Daphnia pulex: one gene and its partner. The protein of the gene in region 1 binds, or shares a complex with, the protein of each later gene. Links are inferred from orthologs where the notes say so. Each region holds a gene or a part of one and is shown on either strand. Other genes may lie near its edges.

Region 1 (4,395 bases):
GCTGTGTGACTCAACAACCTCCTCCAGTAAGTGAAATTCTGCTTGGCACATTCTTTTTTTATATTAAAATTTCATTTTAATGTTAATTATTTAAATTTAAAGCGGAGACGAAGACCACCAATTGATCGTTCCATGATCGGTTTGCCACAAAATTTTCAACATACTGCTCATATAGGCTCAAGTGACGTAGCCATGGGTTCAAGGCATTTAGTAGCCTTGCAAAATCACATGCAGAGCAAAGGAGGTTATGACACGGCCGTTCCTATTGAAGACGCAGCTTCTAGGCAGGCACCGACAGTGACTGTGACATGATGATGTCCGTCTTCCTGAAATGCGGTCCTTGATTCCTTCTTCTTCTTCTGTACATTACGAAAGCCTTGTAACACTAATCTAACTCGTTGACCAGAACTCTTTTCCCTCTACAAATTAATGATACTCCATTTAATACTAAGTGCAATTTTATGTACAGCCAATTACGTGACAGTATCGCTTCTCAGTGTTTTATGCTACTAATTCGACATTGTCTTATACAATTCAAAGCTTTGACCACTCCCCATCTTCGTTTCATCTTCTCAGCTTCGCCATATATCATACCTAACGAACGATTTGTTGACCAGAAAAAATTATTATTTCAAAATTGTGAAAACGAATGTATTCCGCCCTTCCGCACATAGGTCCAGCCCCAAATTGGGCAACGATCAAATGAAAGAAACAAATTGAAAAAAAAAAATACACAACAAACCAATTGTAATTATTTCTATATTTAATCGCTGTCCTCTTCGCTGCTGCTGGATACTACTCTCACCTTACTTCCACTGCCACCTGCCTCATCATCATCGTCGTTATCATCTTCATCCGGCAGTGCTTTGGCACGTTCCAGTTTCTTCGCTTTACGGTCTTCTATGTCTGAAGCATCTTCTTCAGAAGAATAGATGGGTGGTCTTTGATGTGATGCATCTAATAACCGAGCAAACACGGAGTTCATTATAACAATTAGCGAGGAACATAAAATAAAAGTACAGAAACGTTTACCTCGAGGTCCTCCCCGTTTGTACTTATTTTTAATCGCTGTCAGAGAGATTCCACCTTCATCTTCAGAGTCTTCGTAGCCTTCGCGATCGGGCTCCAAGTAACCACCACTCATGCCACGGCCGGTAGCTGTTCGTTCACGGACGCGTTTTTGTTTCGACTCGCGTCTCACTGAAGCTCTCAACCGTTCCTCCTCTTTCTGCAAGCAAACCGGTCAACCATTTGACGGCACGGTTAATATTTTTCATCAACAAAATAACAAGTAGTAGTGTAATATTAGTAGTATTACCTTGATCTTCTCTCCGCGGTTGGCCTCAGGATCCGCACCGAAAACCCCAATGATCTTAATAGAAGACGTCTTGGTGGAACGCTCGGCAAGAGACTTGGTCATCTTTCGATGGGTGAATGAATCGGTGGAGTGAGGTCGGAAAGTCAACTTGGTGCGGAAGACAGCCTGGCCCTGTAGACCAGTACCTTGCCGAATGAACAAATGATTGTAATCTCCCTAAATAGACCAGACAAATGAGGATTGTTAATAGGCATCTCGTTGAGAAAGAATTGGATAATTATAATTTACCTGCAGGGGTTGTCGGTAAACATCGAAAATTTCAGAGCCAAGATGGAGGGAAAGTGAGCCGTCTGACCATTTAACCATCCGGGCATTACTTTGCTTGAAGGCGTTTCCCTCTTTATCAAAAGCCGTTCGCCATCTGATTGTGTTTTCAACTTTGAGTTTGAGGCGGGCTCGACCTTCTTCGTCGAGGGTCTCCTCTTCTTCCAGCTCGTCTTCGTAGGTTTCGGGGTCATAAGGTCGCGGCTCAACCGACAAGAAATTGGGCAGCTTGACAAAGTGGAACTCACTGCCTACGTCAGCCCGGATGTATGGCAGCTCATGCTCAATTCTCGTCTCTGGAACGGGCTCTTCTGGTTCCTTTTCCTTTTCGTTATCACGGCCTCCGAATTCATCATCCTGTTCCATTTCATCGGGCGATCGACGATCAGGAATGCTGTCTCTATCAGCTTCACTGGCGGCTTTCTCGGGTAGTTTTTGGGTGGGTTTGTTGCCATCGTCGTCGTCGTCATCCTCAGATGACATGTCGACATTTTCACCGAAAAGGGCTTCGGCAGTAGGGCTCGCCATTTTGCTACTTTTACCCCCGGCATCTGAATCTGAAGCCGAATCAGCATCGCTGTCTATGATGCGCTTGATTTTCCTAGTTGAATTAAAATTGAAGTTGAATTAAAGGTTGGTTGATGTGAAATTTGGGGAAATTAGATTTACTTTTTAGTCTCTTCATGTGATGGGGATGACTGAGCTGTGTCTTTGCCATCCTTTTCTTCATCAGAATGATGGCTGGCTGATCTTGCTGAGCTGGAGCTAGATGAACTCCTGCTCCTACTTCCGCTTTGACTACGACTTCTACTCTTTCTCTCATCCAGCACCAAATCTCCATCACCATTCACTTCACTTCCTGATCTACTTTCAGCACTGGCGCTTCTACTCCTGGCTGTAACAATAGAGGGTAATGTTAAATGTCAAATGAATTTTGAGACAATTGTTTACCTTGATCTGGGCTTTGAGCAGACCTAGAAGAACTGCCTGATCTGGAAGCTGCTGATTGTCGGCTACGTACAGAACCTGCTTCTGACTTGCTCCCTGATCCGCTGCTGTCGGAATCGCTACCTGAGGACTTATCATCTGCAAGAATACACAACGGAGTTAAGAAAATGTCAACTTTGAGTCACAAACCTTTCGTACCTTCAGATCCAGAATTTTCAGATTCTTGGTCTTTATAGGGCGCCATTATGGACAAAACTTTCTTCTTCTTTTTTAATAAAGGAAATCGGAATGAAATCAAGCAAACAACACACACCGAATTTCAAAGCTTCGTCTGTTAGAAAGCCTACGGTGGCGACTCAAGTGAGCGAAAAATAAAAGTTCAAAATGCAACCGCTAGATGTCTCGTACGTCCCTGAACGCCAATTAAATAAATTTGGCTCCCACTCCGATGGCAACGCTCAAACCCCCCTCCTCCTCCTCAAGACCTGAGCTGAGAGCCTGAGACCGCCCGTTCTCGAGTCAGTCGTCTTGATGATGGTGAGGAGTTCGTTACAAGAAAACATCGGGAGTGTGCAGCCCGAAATCTTGTGAGTGCGTGCACTGCCCTCGTTGTTAAGCAAACTTTATTTCGAGATAAGACCTGCGCAAAAGAGCATCGTCGTCGTCGTCGTGTTCCTTCGGCCTAAGAGAACAACGATCCTGGCCAAAACATCAGCAGTCCTCCTCGTTGTCTTAGACATTTCCAAGTTTTGTGGAAGCAGTGCGACAAATCGTCCGTTTTTCTTGTGTGTTTCATCTTGACCAAAGTTGAGAGTGTGTGAATCATCAGAAATTTCGTTGTCAAAAGGAAGAAGCACGAGTGCTGTTGTCACACAAACAACTTGAGAGTGTCGTGTATCGGCCCCCCCCCCCTGTCTCAGCAGAAAATAATAAAAACCCATCAGCAAAAAGAGAAACAACACACACACAACCGTTTGGGGTTTTTTCTGTCATGGAGAAGGTCACCCGGACCGGTTTCGCTCGTGGCCCATCGAGTTGAAAACGTTTTCAACAGTTTCTCAAACGTCGATAGATTCCCTTTTGTCGTCGTCGTCTCATTGGGGAAAAGGAGAGCTCTCCTTTCCTTTTTGTCTCCAAAATCTAGAGGTATAAAATCAAGTATATTTGGAGAAAGGGTCATTTGTTATTGTTCCCAGTAGCAGGTGAAAGCCTGGACCTTAATGATTGTTGTTTTCGAACGAAATCGATTGGAAATGCATGTGTTTTTTCTTCTAATCAGGTTTTGCTTCGTCTAGTTATGGAAATGAGATATATTTTCCCTCCTAGGTTTTCTTTTTCCTAAACTTTAAACCACGGAGAGGAGGAGAATTTGATTTAATGGAAGTTTCAGTGGATCACGACACGGGGACATTTTGGGGGCACACCAGGAGTGGTGGTGAAGAAGACCAAGTTGAAACAGAGAAGAAGAAGTCATCCCACCACCGGGAAATGAGTAAATAATCGAGGCGTGTGTAAGAAGTAAACGGAGAACGGCGGAAATATGCCCGAGGAAGAAGTTGATGGCCCGAGGCCAGTCATTGTTGCATACACAGGGACTCCCTCCAGCTTGTCACGTCTGTGACCCTTGTCTTTCTTCTTTTCCATCTCCGACCTAAAATAACACATGGGGTGGAGTTAAAAATCTATATGTACCGTGTATATCTACGGCGGTGGCGTCGAAAACTCAATCAACTTTTCTCCTCTCCCTTCCACCTTATTTATTTACATTTCCTCCCCCCCTTCCATCTTCCTCTAACAGTCCATCC
Region 2 (2,629 bases), on another chromosome or scaffold:
GGGACCGCCCGTTGAGAGTGAAGCGGGAGCCAGTCTCTCAGCCAAGAGTTAAGTCTCTCAACGCTCCGAAGGAGCATGAGCTTGTCTTCGAATTCATCATTTTGCATGATTGAAAAATTTTCATCATTTCTAATCTAAAATACTAAAATATTTTCTAGTTTTCATGTTAATAATTTTCTATTATTTCAATTTCCTCGAGGAGTTTACGAAATAGCCCATCGAGGTTCCTCGTCAGTGGTTCAAATCCTTGGACAAGCTATTTTATTTTTTAAATGTAGATTTCAATCTAATAATTTTTAATTTGATTGCTGAGACGCTAATAGGCTAAAAATCAAAACATTTAAATTATTCGTGTATGAAAAAAGAAAGGTGGATATTGGATAAGCTGAATGAGTATCAGAGTGCAATATTGATTATTCATTCCCTTATGATGATACGGGAAGTTCGGCATAACTTATTTTTAAATTTCAGAATATTTGGCGCGTTATACTTACTATTAATTTTTCTTTCTGTACTGTATTTGTCATTCAATCAGTGTCGTACGACAGTTGATGAATTTTGCATTTGAAAAATCTAAATAAACCCTTAAAAAATTTAACGGTTTCGTAATTAAACTGCGAAAGAAAGGGAGAGGTTTATTTGTCGAATTTCTCAAGGTTTTAGTGTTACATGAACAAAGGTTTTCAATCCGAATCATCAGAGCCAGATTTTGGTGTTTTTGAACGAGATCCAGATTTCGAGCGAGATGTTGACCGCGAACGTGAACCGGATTTCGATTTTGACCTGGAACGTGACGACCGAGAAGAACGCGAAGAACGGGATGATCGACTGACAGAGCGGGATTTAGAGCGGGATTTAGAGCGGGATTTGGATCGTGATTTGGATCGTGATTTGGAACGGGATTTGGACCTAGATTTCGATCGGGAATTTGAACGCGAACGCGATTTGGATCCGGATTTGGATCGCGATTTAGATCTTGAATTCGATCGTCCAGAGGAACGTGAACGTGAACGAGATCCTGATCCCGAACGAGAACCCGAACCAGATCGAGACCCCGACGGAGATCGCGATTTTGCTGGAGAACGAGAGACAGACCGACCGCTGAAGCTCTTTTCTGATCCGGAAGCAATTCTCCTTCGTCGGCTAGTTCCAGCTCCTTCACCACCACTTTCCTCTCCACTGAAAACAAAAGTAATTGTAGTCGGTGAAATAAATTCTTCTGCTTATTAGGAGCTATCGATTTTATTAGAAATTCAAATGTTACTCACCCGCTAGCGATGCGCAGTTTACCACCTTCTTCCGACGAATCATCATCCGAGGAGGAAATAATGGCTTTAGATACAACTTTGCTTTTCTGCTTTGAACTAAGCCCATCGTCGACATCGTTAGATGACTTTTTCCCACTTCCCTTCTTGGCTCCTCTGCCTTCACTTCGACCTTTCTTCTCTTTCGTTCGTCCCCGTTCTTCGCCGCTTTTTCCTTTCTTCCGTGACTTTGTCTCAGTCTGGCGCGGTTTCCGTTCTGCCTTACGTTTCTTTGATGGCGGACCAGCACCCTCATCGCCACTTTGAATGCGATCACTACCGTCCGTAACGAATCCATCTTCGTCATCCTTCTTCTTGCGACTCTAAAATATTACAAAAGGGAAGATTTATAAACGTTTTCTCTATTTAGAATAATCAAGTCTTAGTACCTTCTTGCCCTTTTCGGCTTTTTCTGATGGCATCTCGTTAAATTGAGTCGCTTTCTTCGTTTTTTCAATGAACTCTTCGCGCAACTTGAGTAGCTTCTCTTGCTCTTGTCTACGACTTTCTTCAAGTCTATGCTGTTCCTCGCGCTGCTTCGTACGGAACGCCTCTCTCTCTTCTTCCTGTTTCTTCCTCATGCGCTTCTCTTCCTCTGCAAGACTGCGAGCGCGTGCCACATGATATTGAGCCTTTGGAAAATAATTTAGTTTACAACTACGCTTAATTAACACGATAAAAGATCGATTTACCTGAGAGAGAAGATCTCCACAATGTCTCGCTTCAGCAGCAGCAAAAGCCAAATCATAGCGCATGCGATCGCCATTGACAGAAAGCCACTGGAAGAATTTGTGCGATAGCTGGAGTTCACTGACAGCCTGTAACACCGTTTGCAGATCCGATTTCTCATCCTTGAGAATTTGGGTTGCCAGTCGTTGCAGCACGAGAGCCGTGTTAAACAGGAGAACCGTATCGTGTGGAGCGACGTGCTGGGCTTTAAGTAGGGATAGTTTTGCTTCGCGGAGTTTACCGGCACGAAAGTGTGCGCGTGACAAGTACTGAAGAATTTCAACATGCGGATGTCGAAAAAATTTGCGGATGCAGTTTTCGTACATCTGAATGGCCGAAACATACTGCTTTTGCTCGACATAGATATGAGCGATGTTCAACCACACATCAGAAAAATCGGCAGTAGCTTCACGAACCTAAAAAAAAAAAAAAAAAAATTGTTCCGATTACGTGAAATAAACGAGGGGGAATCACAAGAATTCACTTACTGATGCAAAGATATCACGTGCTTCAGGAATACAGCCTTTGTGAGCTAGCACACAACCGATACCATTCGCAGCCCAAATATTACGATGGTCGTTCTTCAGAACTGTCTT

Evidence for each region. The genes of interacting proteins can lie anywhere in the genome.
Region 2: RNA polymerase-associated protein LEO1-like (region 1) and RNA polymerase-associated protein CTR9 homolog share a complex: the UniProt entries of both Caenorhabditis elegans proteins name them as parts of the PAF1 complex. The link is inferred for Daphnia pulex from reciprocal best matches to the Caenorhabditis elegans genes leo-1 and ctr-9.

Annotation. Positions count from the first base shown.
Region 1 is NC_060024.1:10,088,192-10,092,586, forward strand, and holds RNA polymerase-associated protein LEO1-like, read right to left. Parts: upstream 2,941-4,395; 5' UTR 2,835-2,940; coding exon 2,789-2,834; intron 2,729-2,788; coding exon 2,594-2,728; intron 2,538-2,593; coding exon 2,312-2,537; intron 2,244-2,311; coding exon 1,607-2,243; intron 1,535-1,606; coding exon 1,319-1,534; intron 1,229-1,318; coding exon 1,033-1,228; intron 958-1,032; coding exon 764-957; 3' UTR 638-763; downstream 1-637. UniProt on the Caenorhabditis elegans protein: Component of the PAF1 complex which is a multifunctional complex involved in transcription initiation via genetic interactions with TATA-binding proteins, elongation and transcription-coupled histone modification.
Region 2 is NC_060027.1:4,806,195-4,808,823, forward strand, and holds the end of RNA polymerase-associated protein CTR9 homolog, read right to left. Parts: coding exon 2,522-2,629; intron 2,450-2,521; coding exon 1,997-2,449; intron 1,937-1,996; coding exon 1,694-1,936; intron 1,628-1,693; coding exon 1,269-1,627; intron 1,180-1,268; coding exon 684-1,179; 3' UTR 610-683; downstream 1-609. UniProt on the Caenorhabditis elegans protein: Component of the PAF1 complex which is a multifunctional complex involved in transcription initiation via genetic interactions with TATA-binding proteins, elongation and transcription-coupled histone modification.